Linked DNA regions of Drosophila melanogaster. The protein of the gene in region 4 purifies or fractionates together with the protein of the main gene of each other region. This does not show direct contact. Each region holds a gene or a part of one and is shown on either strand. Other genes may lie near its edges.

Region 1 (4,203 bases), on a different chromosome or scaffold from region 4:
CAAAACAGAAACAGAGATGGCAGAAGTAGAGCGCGGCAGACAAAGCAGCGAGAGCGAGAAGGAGACGCGCGTAAGAGCGAGTGCGTCAGAGCGAGAGATAATGAAGATGGCAGGGGGAGGGTAAGGAGGTTAAGCACGCCGTGGGCTTTAAATTTCATGAATGCGAGCGCAAAAAACTGGGCAAAAAGAAATGCGAACAATGCAGAAAAAGGGGTAATGGAGAGAACGCAACCAAAACAACGGAATATAATAAGAGCGCTTTAAAAGCTCAGTTAAGCGAATTAATTTGCATGCCATTCGCGCGTTCTTGCACTCAAAATGTGAATATGTGGGTGCCCCCGACCCTTTGCTTACCAACACCACCGCCCCGCCCCCCCCGCTTCGCTCCTCCACAGCCCTTTTTGACTTTCCCCAACGCTTTTCCTGCCAATTGTTGTTCGTCTCGGGCATTGTTGCTGCGTGCTCTTTGTTTTTGCGCTTCATTTCATTCGTCACTTAAACACCCCTCGTCACTTAGTGCCCCCTACCCCTTCCCCATCAGACCCACTGCCCCCCTGCCGCACAAAATGCAACATCCTGGCAGCCATGTGATGCCAATGCCGATTCCCTATGCCGATTCCACACAAAAAGGCTGCAGTAAGAGCCCTCGAGGACTTTCCACTTAGTCTCCTGAAGAGAACGCGCCACTTCAGAGTTTTCAGGAAGTAAGACAAATAATTGCCGTGGCTCGATTTAATCCGCCATTTAAGCGCATTTAAGCCGCTTATTCGGCTGCTTAGTACTTACGTTTTCTAGGAAACAGAAACATTCACCCGAAGTTAATCCGCCGCCGATAACGCCGCCGCCAGCAAAATAAGGCCGGCGGCCCAATTAACAACGCCCATGCAACACGATAATTAGGTGCAACTTTTCTCTTCTTCGATCACATAACGAAAGTTAAATGTAAATGGGCTTTGGAATTCACAAATTTTTACGAAATTTTCTTTTCTATGCGTTTCCTGCGAAATTTCTCTCAGCGGAAAACACGCTGTGGCGAGTTTGAAGGCTTCACCAGGAATTTGTTGACTTGTCAGTGCGCCTCGAAGTTAGTGATGCGCAGGCGAATGGCCGCAAAAATAATCGCATGAATTTGGGCAAATTGGTAAGCAGAGTGCACTCGTCTATTGATGAGCAGCAGTTTTATTCAGGCAATTAGGTGCATTGAAAACTTCCAAGTGTAAATATTTACCTTAATTCCATAACATAACTGCCTTATCGAATGCTTTTGGTTAACAGTTAGTCACTATGGCGCGCAGAATAATTGATTTAAAAATTTGAAGCGCAATATTACGTTTTAAGAATGTAATGATCAATAAATGGCAAGAAATCAAATCTACATAATAATATATGCTATCATATTGAAGAATGTAATGAAAAACAAGCTTAGTTTATATAATTAATTAAATGACAAGTGCATACACGCTGGCGTTGCCAGACTGCTGCACATTGTTAACTGCGTGCTGTTAAGCGCAGCCTAACAGCACTCAAGCAGTGCGTGGCATTTCGACACATACTATGAACGGTAACATTGAGCACATAAAAAACGTAAACAATTCATTGTAAATTACAATTTCCCGCTTTTATTGCACAAAAATGTCCATGCAAAAGGCCAAAGTCATCGACCAGAAGGAGTACCTCAAGAAGTACCTATCCGGCGACAAGGAGAAGAAGAAGAAAAAGAAGGAGAAGAAGCACAAAAAGAATTCGGCCAACACCAAAGTGAAAATCATCGATGACGACGCCTACGAAAATGATAATCTGGAAATGGACGAAGATCTACTGCTGGGCGGCGAGGATGCGCCTCAAATTGTGGGCGAGTACATCGAAGAGGATCCCAATGTGCGCAGCAAGTGGCGCAACATTGCCGTCAAGGATGAAATCAAAGAAGAGCACGAGGAATCCTCGCCAGCAACTGGCATTCGCATCAAACAGGAGCCCTTGGATGAGGAGCAGGAGATGTGGGGACGCAAGGCGACAGTTGTTAAGGTTAAGGATGAATTCTCACCATCCAGACGAAGTTCACCCGTCAGAATTAAGCAAGAAAAACGCAGCAGCTCTAGGGATTTAAGCCCAGCGAGATCGAGTAAGCCAGCAAAGCGAGAAGAGAGTCCTCAAAGGGGGCGAAGAAGGGCGGGAAGCTCAGATCAGAGTCCCACCAGACGAGGGCGAGATGGCGATCAGTCTCCGCCACGCCAAAAGCACAGGGATTCCGATCAGAGTCCACCCCGAAAGGCCAGGAATGGCAATCAATCGCCAGTCAGAAAAAGGCGGGATTCCGACCAAAGTCCGCCAAGAAAACGAACGGGAAAAGCATCACCCACTCGAAGGAGAAGGGATTCCGATCAATCGCCACCCAGACGCCGCAGAAGTAACTCCGATCAGAGTCCGCCAAGGCGACGTAGAGACAAGGATTCAACTCCGCCCAGAAGGAGGAAAGATTCCGATCAAAGCCCACCTCGAAGGCGTAAAGCAGACGATCAATCTCCGGTGCGAAGGGAAAGGAAAGACTCCGACCAAAGTCCGCCTAGGAAACGGAGAGACAATGACCAGTCTCCAGTGCGAAGGAGGCGGGATTCAGATCAAAGCCCGCCCCGAAGACGCAGAGATGACAAGCAAACGCCGCCAAGGAGGAGAAGAAACTCCGATCAAAGCCCGCCAAGAAGACCCAAGGATGTAGATCAATCGCCACCGCGAAGAAAACGAGACTTCGACCAAAGTCCAACCAGAAAACGAGACAAATCACCACGCAGACGTCACGACTCCGACCAAAGCCCGGCCAGAAATCACAGAAGTCGAGAGCGCAGTCCACCGCCTCGTAATCGCTTCAAGGAAGAAAGGAAAAGTCGCTGGGCCAAGGCATCGCCCAGCAAATCAGCATCTCCACCTCCGACACACAAGCCGAAATCCACCAAGACACTAGATGGCAAGAAAGCTGGACTGCAGGATGCGAAATCGCTGAAGAAGGAAACCGACGAAAGGCGTCGACAAGAACATGAACTATTCGAGAAAATGTCCAGCGAAATTTCCGGTCGTGATGGCGATGTGCAGGTGCGCAGTACTCGCAGAAAGGGACACCGAGCACGAGATGCCGCCAATGAGGATCCCGCCGAGCAGGGCCGCAAAGAGGAGCACGAGAAAAAGAAGAAGGAACTGTACGATCGCTGGGGCAAGGGGTTGAAGCAAATAGAAGATCACAAGTCCCGCCTGGAGGAGATGGTCCATGAGGCCTCCAAACCGGTGGCTCGCTATGCCAACGACGAGGATCTGGACAGGCATCTGCGCGAACAGGAGCACGCCGACGACCCGATGCTGGAGTACATGCGCCAGAAGCGCAAGAAACGCGACCAGCAGGACAACAAGCCGGTGATGCCCAAGTACGAGGGCAGCTTTCCGGAGAACCGATTTGGCATCCGACCAGGATATCGCTGGGATGGCGTCGATCGATCCAACGGCTACGAGCAGCGTTGGTTCGACAAACAGAACGAACGGCGGGCCGTGCAGGATGAGGCCTACAAGTACAGCGTGGAGGATATGTGAATGTTGCAAGCGTTGTTTGCTTTCGTGTTGCAATAAAGATGTAGGCACTGCCTGTAAAAAAGAAAAGAGCAATTACATTGATCGTTTTCTTTGTTTTATTGAATTATTTTGGAAAATAAAGAATGTAAATAGGTAATATAATATTTAATATTTATTTACAAAAATTTGATTTTCGAAATGCCCGCCACTTTCCCGCCAAATCGACGTGCCACCTGCAACACTGGTCGCCAGCGCAATGCAACCCTGTGTGTAGAATAGCGGAGCAAAAGCGAATGGTAAATAGTCTTCATCTACACCTGCGACCTGCTCGTCGCTCCCAAAAAATCGTTTCAAAACCACGGAATAAACCGTGTAACTGGGGAAAACCCATTGTAATTATCAAGTTTAAAGTGTGCCGCACATTTTGGCTTCAAAACCAGAATAGGTAAGTGACATCATCTGCTAAATAGAAGCATTCTAAGATTTTTGCTTTGTAAGCAATAGAGTATCGATGTGTGTGTGTGTATGTAAATGGTTCTGCTTTTGGTTGCTTTGTTGCTGCTTTCGTTACAGCGAACAAAGCGTAAGCAACTGTATATGTGTATCGAGTGGGACGCCAGTGGTGTGTGTTTGTTGCCCCGCCCCCAA
Region 2 (5,025 bases), on a different chromosome or scaffold from region 4:
TTGCATAAATAGATTTTTCACTCTCAAAAAAAACCGAAAACGGCTAAATTATACAGAAATAGGAATGGAATTGCAGTAAATCGGTAAGGAAAGTTAGGGGAGTGTAATGCGTGTAAATGTTTGGAAGTTCAAATGGTAATTCCCGCTAGAAATTTGTAGCGATTAAGTTCCATTGCTCGAACTTAAGTTACTTTCTAGTTGATTAGGCCTTACTAAGATCTTCCATGTATATATGAAGTACTTAAACATTATCCCCCATAGTCGACCTCATTTTTGTATTATTTATTTTCAATAGAACCGAATTAGCAATTTCGCATTCCACAGTACCAAATGAGGTAATCTGAATTGATGACAAACGATTGAGGATTGCAGGCCAATACTCGAATTTTATTCCCCAGGCTCTGATGTCGTTTTTATGCCGCACATGAATTCTGTCAACGTCCCATCAACAAACAGTCATATACGAGTGCCCCATACCGCCAAAAACCAAATGTGTTGGCATATGTTATGAAATTAACGAGTTTACTTTATGCGGGCGGCATTATAAACAGGCAAACAAAAATGGCCTAATAAAATTGTCAATAATGCGACACCCACATGCGGTGAGGAAATCAAATGAGGGTTAGCAAAGTGCGGAGAGTGCTGAGATAAATGCTGACAACAAGGACATTACTCATACGCAACGTGTGCACGCTTCGACTGGAAATCAACTGCAGCTGACCAAAAATCAGTGTCACTTTCAGCGGGTTCATTTATCATCGTTTTGCCTTGGCGGCATCCAAGGATTGAGGGTCAGAGGAGCAGGTCCTGGGTCCTGGGGCAGCTGTCATGTTGAGCTAGTCAACGTGATTTGTCTCGACGCCAGTCAAATCAAGTTTTTCCTAGAAGTCGTGCCCTTTCGCTGATGGCACACTGAGCGAAATGTGTGCACCAAAGAGGAAAATTATTTTGTCCACTTTTTCTTCTTCCTCTAAATAGCTATTGATCATTCGTTGTCAAATATTAGCTATCTGTTGATAGTTTAGCTCACTCTTTTATAACTTAATAATATGATTATAATCTTCACTATTTTTTTTATTGCGATGTTAATCTCTGTGCATGAAAACCGCACCCACTCTCGGGGTGGATGCGATGGGAAAATATGGTGCCAAGTGAAAACTTTCAAGGTCCCACGCACACATTTCCTCGTTGTTGCGTGTAAACTCATAATTTGGCGGCACGGTGAAAGTTTTGCTTAGAATTCGTTGTCGCTCAATTTGATGCGTGCGAATGGGCGGTAAGCGTGGGGCGTGGCTCTCTAGGCTATTATGATTATCGCTTGCGAAAACATTAATTAGAAGGTCATTGGCGAACAGCAAGAGCTGTTCGTTAATAATATTAATTAAGCCATTACGCTCAACTTCCATTTGGGTTGGTTGAGTGTCAATGGAATGGCATTACCCAAACTTAATTGAAGCAAAATGTAATGCGACACTGGGGAGGGGAATTACGGAAGGACTAATTGTAGCCACTTACACGTCAGGGTATTTATTCGAGTAGTAGTTTCAAGCTAAGCCAGCTAATTGCCTACTTTTAATTTTAGTTTGACTCCTTCAATGCATTTTCTTTTTATTCAAACTTAGGCTGAGAAGGTTGGACAACGTAAGGGTATATTTTTAAATTTTACAATACCACCATTGCTGTTAACAGTCAATATAACACAAGAATTCTGGAATACTGATAACATTTTGTGTCATTTCATTGAATTTTTAAATGCATCGCAGATGTGGTGCGAACTGTTTCCCTTAGATTTAGTTCTCGCCCATTTGCCATTTCTTTCGGCTCATCTCTCGCATTTTCCCATTTCCGCAGATCAGCCAAACGGCAATGGCAATGGTAATGGCAAAGAAAAGCGGCCGAGTGGCAGGAAAGGCAAACAACGGCATGGAAAACTAGATAATGTGGCAAGCGAATAAACAAATCTCGCCATGGGCCCCTCTCTATATACACAGTTGGTCAGTTCCGCACAAGTCGGCGTAGAAAATGGACGCCGGCTATTCGCCCCGAAAAGTACGTGTGAAATTATCATTATTCAATTGTGTTTTTGGGTAAAGTGCGAGTGTATGTATCTGCATGAACGGGAGTGTGTTTATGCGTTGGTAAATTAAATTTGAAACGCAACGCAATTAAAGAAAGTGAAATCCGATCGAATTGAAATGCAATCAAATGCGAATTCAAATCAATAAAATTGATTGCAGAGCGGGAGGAGAAATCAAATAACAGGCAGGAAAAGTGGTCGGAAAAGCTTTCACCGGACAGCCCACGACTCTGACATTTGTTTGGGCGGATCGCAAAATTGACCATTCACTGGAAATGCGTTTTTAATGTTCCAGCTATGTGGTAATGACAAAGAGTCCATGACCACCATCTGTGGTGCGGATGTGGATTCACTTGCCGCACTTCGTGGCCATGTTCGACCTTTTCCTCTTTCACCTTTCACTCCCCCCGAACCGGATGTAATAAAGGCGAACGAAGACGGACATGCAACGGAAGTGCAGAAACACCCTCCGCGGCCAACTGCCCCAGACTGGGTGCCTCGTAAATTCGGATGGTTTCTGTTATTTACGGTCTGTTTGATTGCACAACAATGTGTTTATGTGTAAGGTGACATTTGTAATTGGCAAGGAAGCCAGGAAGTCGACCCCGACGACATTCGCAGAAAGCCATAATAGTAATGGTAAACGTGGTGGGACGTTGCAGGTGAAGGCACTAACCATAAATCGCGATTGCTATCCAAAGGAATGTTTTTTGTGAATGTGTGTTGGGCTTGAAGGTCAAACTTAAAAAGTTAAAAATAAAATGAAGTCAAGTGGCTTTCTAGCTTAGTGTCCTTCCTAAATCAAGCCTCGAGATCTGCTTCGATTAATTTGATGTGAAACTAGATAGAACTTTGAAGATACATTCCATTTTTATTAATAATATATAAAACAAAGCCCACACACTGACATCCATTTAAACAATGCACTCAAATATATAGCCCAAGTATTTGTTTCCCGTTTTTATTCCAACTGCTGCTTCAAGTAAATATTATTAATATGCCAAATCTGGTAGCCGCGGGCTGACTCTTGGAATCGAAACTCAGCAAACAAATGTGTTGATTGAATTTATTTTTATTAAAATGTTATCCCAGCAGACACCTCCTCACAATCCGAAAACCATGTGGCACTGAATCCTGGCACTTGCTGGTTGGCTGCCACGTCCTTGTTGACGTTTTGTTTGTTTTTCTCTCTGTCGTCGTGGTCTTTTTTATTTTGTTACGCCAAGTAAAATTGAATTCAGCTGAAATCTCTTTGAGTTGCTCACACGTTCTTATTATTTCACGGAACAAACAGAAATCCCTTCCAGCCCAGAAAGATTTATCCTTCGCCTTCCGTTATTTTCTGTCAAAATTGAAAAGTTTCTCGGGGAACAGCCGTCATAAAAAGCAAGAAATAAGTTCATAGTGCCAAGAAGGATATCAGCGATGTTGCGGCTATGTTTGCCTTGCTGTCGCCTCGCATTTTCGAAAATGTTTTGCATGCGAATGTTGTCCAAGGACACTTTTTGCCATCCTCTCGCCCCTAAGCATTCCAGCCCTGACACACATTTTCCTTTTCCGCCAAGAAGCAGAGGAAATGCCACCAAAACGCTGAAACGGTTTCGGTTTCGCTGCCTACCGGTAAAGAGATTAATTAACCGATTCCGGCTGCCAGTTGGCACATTTCCCTCTTCGCTCGCAGTTAATTAGCGCACACTCTTGGTGGTGGTGGTGGTGTGTAATTTCCCAGAAAATCATTGCAGAAAACGCTGACGTCATTGACATATGCCCCAAGCTCCAGATGGCAAGGGAATCCGACCAACCCGCAGACAATGCCTCAATTAATCCCCATAATGGTCGAAAACCGCAGCAACATTCGTCCCACAATGTCCCGAGATGTTGACAGTTGTCAGCCTCCTTTTGTTTCCGCGGCAATCAGTCGAACAAATTGCTCTGGAACGCAGTGAGGAATTATAACTGGCTATGGGATAATTGTTATCTGGCTGCTGACGGATAACTGATGAAATGCAAATGGGCTCAAATCAACGTCTGAGCTGGCTTAAAACAGCACTTAGATCTGACGACTGGCAAAGAAAATTAAGGGCTTTTAGACTACAAGCCTATTATTTATGTCCATGTATCATCATCATATGTATACAATTCAAAACAAATTACACACTTAAGTCTCAATATTGAATTGCAACCCTTTTAATTATGATTCGAAATAGCTCTGTACAAACAATTGTACAATTGCCTTGCAGATAATAAACTATTGCGAGTGCTTTTGAATTCTGAGTTGCAAGTGATTAAAATTTCATTATTTCTTATGTATTCAACATTTATTTAGTTTTAATAAAATATTCCAGGAACGAAACTCATTAGTGTGATATTTTGTTTGTTTTTTTTTTTCGTGCAACTGATTTGCGTGAATGAAACGTTTCCAATTAATAAGGAGTCCAGACAGACGCAAACACGTATATTCACACTGTGCATAAATGATTAATGATCTGTGTCCTGGCCGTGTCCTTTCTATTCGCAAACGATGCGCAAAGGACCGTTCACGCTGGACTCACGTCTGCTGTCCACGCTGCTTTTGCATAATTAAATCATCCTCAATTGCTCCACATTTTTCCGACTTTTCTCACATTACTCTTTGTCTAGCTCGGTGGCTGTCAGTCATTTTTGCCGCTTTGCTTGTCCGCAGGAATTATCTGGACCCCGTGGTACTCTACCTATTTTTTGGGTCTCCTCTTCGCCTATCGCTTTCCAATAACAACAGTTGAGTGGGAATTGATATTTCGCTTTGATTTAATGAAGGGATGTGGCTTATTTTTAATGCGAATCTAAGAAGTTAAGTCAACTGCGGAAATTCCTTGAGGAGTGAATCAACGCCAAAGGACTCAATCCCCTTGGAAATCCCCAACTGAATTCCATTCAAAGGTATGTTTATTTCCATTTCACCGACTGAA
Region 3 (4,877 bases), on a different chromosome or scaffold from region 4:
ATTTTCAACTGTTCATCCAGATTGGAGTTATTTCTTAATAAATGTGCACTAAAACTGCTATCATTAGAATTATGGGATGGATTAAGGCTGTGAAATGTGGTCATATTTGCGTGTGAATTATCTATTTTAAAGTCATCCAATGAGCTGCCAACTAATTTTTTTAGAGTGTCAATATTTTTTTTTAACTTTTTTATTACCAGAACAAACTTTTCATTTGTGTTTGAAATGCAAAGCCTTTGCAGTTCTTCAGTAACAGTTAACGGATTAAGTAACAGCAAAGTCAACTTTTTATCGACCAGACTAATTTTTTGAAAAAACCTTTCTTCCGACCATACGGCATTTTGTAACTGACTCAATTGCGTTGCACTCAATGATTGTAACCCTTTAATTTTATTTATTTCCCCCAATAAAGTCTGTATTACGTTGTTTAACATTTTTCGTATATCATCTTTTAAATAACTGGTACTAATATGGTTGTCTGATTTATTTTCCGTTTCAGTTTGTTTTACACATGCATCTGAAAGTTTCGAACCCAATTCTTCAATGTCTCTCTTAATAATCTCTGTTGATTGTGCTTGTGCAAGGATACACTTTAGTTTATTAATCATATCCATTTCGTTTGTATGATGTTTTTTTTTTCTGTGCTTTCTTGGTTCTTTGTTCAAATGTTGGTTTGGCTCTGTTACGAGACACGCCTTTGCAGTCTGTAAAGGTTGTGTACCTGTAATAGCATTCACCCTCTGATTATTTAAAACTGGGGAAGAAGTTGACTGGTTTCGGATAAATGAGATGTGGTCATGTGTGGCCTCAGACTGATGTAGCAATGCATCAACCTTAAATATCTCAGAGCTCAATTCATTGTCTCGATAAGCCTCGTTTAGATTTTTATAAAAAGATTCGTCTACTTCATTAATATTAGCTGGACTTTCTGTTCCTCCAGTGTCTTCAATGGGTAAAACCTGATTTCCACCCTCGCCTGTTTTAGAGGCTGCTATTTGAAAAAAATTATTACTACTAGGGCTGACAAGTTCACAGGTTGACCGTCTCACGTATGTATCATCTATCTCACTTAACAGTGGTTCTCTAGGCTTTACAAGATTTTTATCCTTCTCAGAACTTTTTGACAATGCACCCGAGGATGCCGAAATCTCATTTAAAACTCGACGTCCATTTAAAAATTCTTTCATTAATTCGGCACGCGCGCTATTTGCTAGAAACTGCTGCCTCTCATATAACATAAGGTCAGAATCTGAGTAAAGTTTAGTTCTTGATTCCTTGTATGCTTCAAAATCCGATTGATTACCTTTTTGTTTTGGCTCGTAGCCTTTTTCAAAACCAAATTTTATTATCCCAATGTCTAAGTTTTTGCCATTGAAATCAATGTTTTCAAAATTTGGATGGGAATCTATTGCGTAAGCGGAATTCATAAGGTCTTCCGATTTAGTAGCTTGCGTATGTTTTGTTACAAAAGTTTTTTCATGATTTTCAAAAGTAAGATTCTTATCAAAGTCACGATTAGATGATTGGATATCTATATCTAATGTGTCTTCCATTTCCAACGGTAGCAATTGATCTTCATCTTGATATAAGGGTACTTTCATTCTTTCGATATCCACTTTTTGAAGTTCTTTTTTTGATGCGCCGATAAGATCCACAAGGTTGCCAACGACAGACTGTTGTTCTATTGATATGTTTTCAAGCTTTTCCAAACGAATCCAAATCTTTCCGTACTCCGTAGAAAGCAAATCCAATGCACGCCAAGCAAACTTCAGCTCTGTCTCGAGTAAACTGATCCTTGTTGCAATTTTATCCATATAATCGGAGATAATGTAGTCAGAGTGTTGCTCCGAATTGTAGCTCTGACACAACTGTTGTTCACTTTTAATCGATATCATACTTTCATTAGTATTTATGCTTGGATAACTTAAGTAAGAGAAATCCAATCCATTGGGCGACTTACTCATCGGTGGTTGCATTTCCGGTATTTGTGCTTTGGCAAGGTCAAAATCCATGTTGTGTTGGATAGAATTAAGGTGCCCCTGGCTTAAGAGCGGAGCTCTTACTGATCCGGCAGCAGAAGAGCTCAATAGTGACGACGCATAAATCGTTGATTGTTGCTGAAGTCGTAACTGCTCCTTTATTTTAATCTGGCTTTTGAGGGCATTTTCTGCAAAGATAAGCTTTTCCTGGGTGTTTATTTTGAGTTCCTTTTTAAGCAACTGACTTTTTTTTTCCGTATCCCCGGTCACTTGCAGCTGAGATGTGTTCATCATACCGTTAATTAGGGTTTTATTCGATGGATTAGTTTTGTTTTTACCTAAATAATTTTGTTTTTAAAATGTGTTTTAATGCTCTGTGTGGAATACATACGTTTATTTCAAAAGCCAATTTCGTCTGTAATACTGAATTGTTATATACATATGTACCTAAACAGCGTTAAGTGGTTGACGACAAAAAAAATACACATAACTATTAAAATTAGGTTCTTGTACTATGTATGTATGTGTATTTCAAAACGTATTTAGATAAAACCCGGTCTTAATTTCACTTCTAAGCACACTCAAAGTAAATAAAAATGCTTTTTAAATATGACCTATATTAGTTGTAACAAAATACACATGTGTCTGTTTGAAATTTACTTCAACTAAAAAACTTGTGCAATTAATTAACTAGTACCAAATGTGGTTTAATATTGGTAGGTTTTTCAATTATGCTTGTATGTACTGTAAAGGGGATCCTAAAATGGATGCGTTTATTAATTATTTGGTATCTGGGCTTAAGAGCGATTCCAGCTTTTTTTCTTTTTTATAAAAACAAAACTGTTTTATAGTCTTTCTGTGCACAAAATTATGTATATGCAATTTTTAACTAAAAGGCCTAAGCTTTTTTATCTGGCTTTCTTAATGTAAACGGTTTGAAACCACTACGAACAATTATTTGTGCTCTGCTAAGAATTAAAAAAACGTTGAAATTCACAGTACAATTTAGTAAATTCTTTGTTGCGCCTAGCTCCGTTTTCATGAAGCTACCAGCAAGTAAGCTTTGCGCGGATGACAGTTACACACTTAGAACTTTAGTTTTTAGTACACCATTGAAAAGCTTATGTATACAGAAAAAAGTCAAGTGTGGGTAAGACGGGAAAAATGTAAGAGAATATTTTTCTATCTATTGCGCATGCCTTAACCATTCTCTGTCAAACGCTCTTAAAGTTTTTGTAATAAACTGAACTTACTCCTTTTTTTATAATGTCACATCTAAGACCATTTATTAACCGTTTACAATTCGTAAACGGTTAACAGGTTTTCAGAATAATTACATCGAACGATTTTGTTAAGAGTTGCCTCGAAATATGTCAAATTAAGACCATTCAAATTAAAAGCTTTAGTCGTACTCCCTAATCAATTTTGAATAATTTTCAGGGGCAATACATTGCGTTATGTCAGAATTGTCTCAAGATCAAGTCCAATGGAATTCCCTTAAAAAGGAAATGACAAACATTAAATATTTAAGAACAATTTTGAAAGCTTTAGTCGAAAGTTTTGACTGTGACATGCCCATTGCTCAAGAAATGCGAGGAACTGTTTCCGTTATTTATCGAGCATCAATTTGCGGTCGTTACATGAATTGTTTAAAAGTTTTGAGTTAATGTTGCCATTCATTGAAACAGATATGAAATTTCTAAGATAAAACGGCGGTGTCTTATTTATACCGTTACAAAATCCTAAATTTGTTAGATTTGTGTTTATAAAATATATGGTGGTTATCAATTAGCAATAGGTCAGGGTGGACGATAAGCGTACTGGCGAAGCAAAGAAATAAAAATACTAGTAAAGGAAAGGCAACGAAAAAAACAACCAATACTTAAAAAAATTATATTCAGGAGAAAAATTATGTTTTTGGCGAATTTGTTAATATGAAAATTTTGTTTTTTTTTTTGTCTGTCTGCTCAATCCTAGTATGCATTTATTTATGTTTAAGTGCTTGACAGACAATACCACTTTTCGTAAAACCCTTAAAGCTGTATATACTTTAAAATTCCTTAAATTCGTCAATACATTTTCGTTAAAAAATTGTTAGGCAGCCAAAACAGCTTTTTACCCAACGAAAGAAGAAGTGGAAAAAATAACTGTTTAGGGTTTAAAAATAGAAGCATTGAACTGATCCTTGTCTGTTGTCAAAAGTATTTACACACAATTTTTACGCGTCAAAATTATTTACATACAGCTTTTTTAATTGTTTTTTGCGTTTTTTTTTCGTGGAGAACAGTCTATTTCCTGAGGTGAATGCGTGCTCATTTAAGATATGGAGGTATCCTGTTTGATTTATTGTACCCTCTATCGGTACCATGTCTCCAAATCCAAAGTAGCTTAAACAGCCCCAGAACATCACCGTGCCACCACCAAATCGATTGATTAGCTGGACGGCATTCAACCTTTAGTTTTTTTGGGAAATGCATAAATTTCTTGCTAAAGGATCTCTGAAACTGAAACCCAATTTCATCAGTCCATAAAACATCAAACCAGAACTCGATAGGCTTCTCTTTATACTCCAAGGCAAATGAGAGACGTTTTTCATAGGAGTTGATGTCAACTTCCTTCATTCTGCGACGCAGTGTACTATATGTTTTCCAATTAAATTTTTCGAAGCTGCGGCAATTAAAACGGGACTAATGGTGGGATTACTGAGTACAACTCCAATAATGTGTCTGCAGTCTTGGGTTCAATGCAACTTTTCGGCCAGGTTTCTTTTAATTTTCCAAATTTCCCAGTGTCCTTTTTTTTAACTAAATTGTACACAGTTTTACGTGATATTTTGTACAACTCAGCTAATTTGGATGCAGAAGAACCAGTCTTAAGTTTAGTGACAATCTCGACTCG
Region 4 (4,966 bases):
GGACAGCACGCTACTTAGAGTATGAAGTCTCATGGTCATGGTGACCACTGCAGTATGGCTTTTACTTTTGCACTGGACTTATGGATGATCATCAAACATCGACAAAGTGATCAATAGGGGAGGTTGTTCTTAGATTGAAAGTGGTAATACCAAACTCGGCGACGAAAAAATCGCGCAGTTTCAATCTGGATTTCTTGGGCTCCTCGCGCGGATGATGGACGGTGATCTGGTCGCCATCGGCCGATATCATCGTCTCGCTGGGCGGCGATATCGAGTATTGCTGGAGCAGACGGCGCTGCTGTTCGGTGAGATCGTCGAGCGGATCATGGCTGGATCCTGGGCCAGCGCCGGCACCAGGAGCACCAGCACCAGATCCCGATCCGTATCCGGATCCAAAGGAGGCCACCGCCGCCATCGACGAGTAATTGCTGCTGGATGTGGGCGATGTGGCAGATGCGCCGGATGCTCCGCCGGCGGCGGCCAATTGTTGAGCGATTAGCAGCTTCTGGGCGTGCTCTTCGGCCTCTTTTTGTTTTTTAAAGTCTTTCGAATGGATGCACATATACATATATATTCATATATACGTACACATATATATATATATATAGAGAGAGAGATCTATTAAAACTAAGGGGTGTGGGATAGGTGGAGTGGGCTTGCGGGAAAAAAGCATAAAAGAACACAAAAGGAGGGCGAAATTTCCATATTTCTCGGAAAAGCGAGAGCCAGAAAACACGACAGCCCGGCTAAGTGCCCTAAAAATTCAATTTCAATTTGCAATTTGACAAATGAAATTTATCTGCCGCCGCCGCTGCTTTTGCCATTTTATTTTCTTTTTTTTTTTTTGCTGCCGGTGACAGAGGCTGACGACGCTTCATAGATCAAAATTAATGGCATTTTTCGGGGGATGGGGTGGTGGGCGTAGTGCCATGACCTAGCCCACTCGATGACCTTGACAAATGGTTGTGGCCTACCTCGACCATCTCGCTCAATCTGCCCCTTTTGCCCATCGCCCATCTGCTTTGGCAGCTGAGAGTGGTTTACAGTGATCACTCGGTAGCTAACACGGTAAGTAAGGAAATATACTTTCTATGATATATTTACATACTTCATAACGTAGAAACATAACCGATATCTGAAAAGATTCTTCTCCGTTTTCCTTTTCCGCTGTGTTCTTCCGTCGAATGACCACTGTAGTTGGGTCGTGTCATATCAGCGCAAGAAATAAGTGAAACCGAAAGACAGAATCGGAGGAAGAAAAGCGAAACTCATTGCGGAAATGGACAAAAACCGAAAATCGCAATGTTCAAATGCAATTTCCCCGTGGCGTCGGTCAGAGCTAAAGCCAAATGGTGGCGGCGGCCCGCCCCCCGGAAAAGCGGAAAAGCCCATCCCGTCCCATGCCGTATCTTCGACATTGGCTGACACTTGCAAAACGAGACAAGCACTAAGCGGCTTAAGCAACCCTCGCAGATGTTGGGTTTTCACCAGGGCAAAGGCATATCGCATTCGAAACCTAGAAGAGGTTGCAAAAATGTAAACTATTTAGCGCTTTTACGCTTTGCAGGAAGGTTGCATGATGACGACGATGACACAGCCCCCACCACCCATTCTAAGCCACATACAGTGGATATCGGCTATAGCGGTCGATACCCAGTAAAAATTATATTGATATTGATCGCTGGATAAAAATATCTTCTTGGGGGCTAGGAAATATAGGATATATCGGTCGTAGATTTCTCAACCGTCTTTAGCGATAGTTGCGTGACACGAACAGCGATCCCACTCCAACGGGCAGTGGGGTTACTTGCGACAAAGCTCCTTATCGAGTAACTCATGTGATTCCGTTCCATTCCTTCGTCGGCGATTTCATAGCTACACATTCTGTTTGAATCACGCCCGTGTTTATCAGCTCGATGACGTCATTGCCAATATAGGCGAAACAAGAAAAAACACAGCTAATAAACCAAAAATCATTTGGGAGACATTAGCGCAGGACAGAGATGGCGTGCTTAACAGCGCGATCACTGTTAGTATTATGTAAACGCTAATGAGCGTAGCGTAGATGCTGTCGCTGTTGTTGTTGTTGTTTTTATGGTTTTTGCTGTTTTTCAAGAGGAGCAATGAAAATCAATTAAAACTAATTGATTCAAGAGTCAAATTCAAACGGTTGCAGCGGCAGCAGCGGTGGCGGCGGCGGCGGTAGAGAGAGGGGCTGTCGCAACAACAAAAAGAAAACCTACTACCATTTAAGCGAACAATGTGCAATAATTAGAAAATGCAATCGCACACACACACACACGCAGATAAACTGTGTAATAAATTAAAATGGGGACAGTGGCGTGGGAGGGGCGTAGAGGGTTTGGGGGGGAGGTTTTGGGAAAGTAGGATTGAAAGAGGGGGAAATTTCGCATCTACTTACTCTCCAGCAGCCGCTGTATCAAGCTGTCCACATTCAGATCGAAGTCGCCCATTTTTCAGCAGCTAAATTGTTCTTCTATTGGCCGCGTTTTGTTGTTGTGGCCAGCTGTTCCAGAATTCCGATTGGAATTTTTGGCGCAACAACTACACGCACGCACACACAAGCACACACACACGCACAGCGACGCCCGTTAGCTTATAAACTTGTATTGTATGCTATTGTAAACAATAAACTTTGTTTAATTCAAATAGTCGTTATATTCTTTTCTCTTTTTTGGTCGTTTTCTTACTTGCCGCAAAAGGCAATTTCACTTTATGCTCTCTTTTTTTCTTATTGAGATTTTGTACGGTGGGCCGCTGATGTTCACTGATGTTGCACGAGGGGCAAGAACAGAAAAAAAAATATATAGACGCACGGCTGATCGACTTTCGGGATCGCAAATCGATCAAGGAATATATAAAATATATATATCTATATAGATGTGTTAGATCTCTGCAGGGGGAGAGGAGCTGAGAAATCGGCTTAACTGAGAATTTATAAACCAGCGTAATCTTTTCTCCGCCAATAACAAAACTCGTCGGACAGCTAGCTGAGTATGACCGTTTGCCGGAAGGCTGAAAAAGTTTTTGGTGGCGGCGGCTTTACAGTTCGACTTTATCGATAGTCCGATGGGCAACGAAGCCAGCCAGTGCTCAGCAACGCGGGAGTTAACTGTCAAAGTCCTTTTTCGCACTTCAACGCTCGTGCCTTCAAACTTCTTACTGTGAACTCAAATCTCGACCGAACAAGTTGTGTGCTCCCTATGATTTCGTTATTAACTGATATTAACTACACACACATTTCTCTAATCCTTGCACACACATAGCTAAATCGAAATGGCTCTTTCGACCATCTGTCCGTTCCTCGTCGCCAACAAGAAAAACTCGAAGCACGCGGCTTTGCTATTTTTGATCTCAAGTGGATTGATGATTTTTAATATGGGCGACTTTATCGACGACTTGATGATCATACGGCTAGATTAAGATCAATTGTTCGAAATTGAAGTCAAAATAGTCATTGCCGGGAACGAAACCTTTATTTTTATTTGTTTTTGAAAGATGCAGATAAGCCTAAGAACTTGCGGAAGAAGTAACCATCTAATTGCAATCGTATCGAATTACTATTACTAAGCTGAGTTCACATGTTCCACATCATTTACAACTTTGAGTAATTATACCCTGACTAGTAATTTTATGTATAAAAAAATGTCAAGTGCAGGCTGCAATTTAAAATTCGCGCTGAAATAAGAGTAATTTTCCGGAAAAACTATTTACATATAATACATATAAATGCTTCGATATATATAGTACATAAAACCTATCGAGTGCCTCGGCATCCAGGCAAACAGCTGTTTCTGCCTCGATAGACCCCGGCAAAATGCATCTAATATCGATAGGCGATAGGTCGCGCACTTAAGAAATTGAATTTACCTAAAGTAAACACCAAACGAATCATAAAGCTGGGCCGCGCAATGAACGGAATGAACTATTTTCCGAACTATTACTCCATCGAGGACATATTCGTGACCCAGGAGAAGGTGGAATGTCGGGTGAACACCAAGCTGCAGCGGATGGGTAAGTGATTGGCTTGGACGGACACGCACATTCTGGCCAGTAATCCGACAATATTGAGTTGCTTGCAGGATTCCTGGACTCCGGCGCGGAATCGGATGACCTGGAGCCCGGCAGGACGGTCAATCTGCCGTTGTGGTACATCAAGGAGCTGAAGGTAAACAATGCCTACTTCACCGTCGCCGTGCCAGATATCTATCGCAATGTGCATAAGGCCGTCTGCGAGGCGGAGACCACGCACATCGAGCTGGGACGCCTGCACCCGTACTTCTACGAGTTCGGTCGCTATCTGACGCCCTACGATCGCAACCATGTCATCGGCCGCATCATCTTCGAAACGCTGCGCCAGAGGGTACGTCATCTCCTGGACATCTCGAAGAGCGACGGACAGGCAGCCAAGGCGGAGCATCGACTGGATAACATCGAGGCCAAGCTGCACGAGGCTGGAGTGCGCACCAACAGTCAGGTGGGTGGCTGTACTACCAGTCAAGTGGGCACGGAGTGTTATATTAATCACATAATTTCAGTACATCGAATGGCTGCAGATGACGGGCAACAAGATTCGCACCTCGGAGCTGGTCGAGGAGCACCAAAAGAAGCGGCGACGTGCGGATCGCAGCGATGACGAGGGCGATGCTCTGCCCAACAGCAAGCGGGCCACCTTGTAACAAGCAGAGTAAAACAACAAAAACAGACCACTGATGTACTGTGGAACTGTAGCAACTTTATTTCGTCCATTCGTTCGGTGGCCATAGGGCAGCCTGACCTCTCAAAAATACACTTTTCATCTACTCTATGCACACGGCTAAATCCATTTGTACAGTTCAAAATACATGGGTTTCGCATACATCTACGCATAACTAAGCATCCAATCCGGGACCGGTCTTAAACAAAACACATAGGAGCTGCCGTTCTGCGTTTTTCATTGACTTGG

What was found.
Region 1: the proteins of flw (region 4) and CG13625 purify together in Drosophila melanogaster (affinity purification with mass spectrometry, with the first as the bait; 2 studies listed by BioGRID). This does not show direct contact.
Region 2: the proteins of flw (region 4) and Myo28B1 purify together in Drosophila melanogaster (affinity purification with mass spectrometry, with the first as the bait; 2 studies listed by BioGRID). This does not show direct contact.
Region 3: the proteins of flw (region 4) and unc-13 purify together in Drosophila melanogaster (affinity purification with mass spectrometry, with the first as the bait; 2 studies listed by BioGRID). This does not show direct contact.

What each region holds. Positions count from the first base shown.
Region 1 is NT_033777.3:24,582,510-24,586,712, reverse strand, and holds CG13625 (uncharacterized protein), read left to right. Parts: upstream 1-1,552; 5' UTR 1,553-1,632; coding exon 1,633-3,576; 3' UTR 3,577-3,646; downstream 3,647-4,203.
Region 2 is NT_033779.5:7,664,055-7,669,079, forward strand, and holds the start of Myo28B1 (myosin 28B1), read left to right. Parts: upstream 1-1,992; 5' UTR 1,993-2,022; coding exon 2,023-2,049; intron 2,050-5,025.
Region 3 is NC_004353.4:890,524-895,400, forward strand, and holds the start of unc-13 (unc-13), read right to left. Parts: upstream 3,043-4,877; 5' UTR 2,982-3,042; intron 2,427-2,981; 5' UTR 2,371-2,426; intron 2,318-2,370; 5' UTR 2,274-2,317; coding exon 1-2,273.
Region 4 is NC_004354.4:10,384,020-10,388,985, reverse strand, and holds the start of flw (flapwing), read right to left. Parts: upstream 3,027-4,966; 5' UTR 2,475-3,026; coding exon 2,423-2,474; intron 544-2,422; coding exon 151-543; intron 1-150. Other genes in the region: Psf3 (partner of Sld five 3), read left to right, coding at 3,933-4,035, 4,104-4,498, 4,560-4,700. UniProt on the Drosophila melanogaster protein: Required for cell adhesion in non-muscle tissues and in maintenance of muscle attachment. Vital for larval development.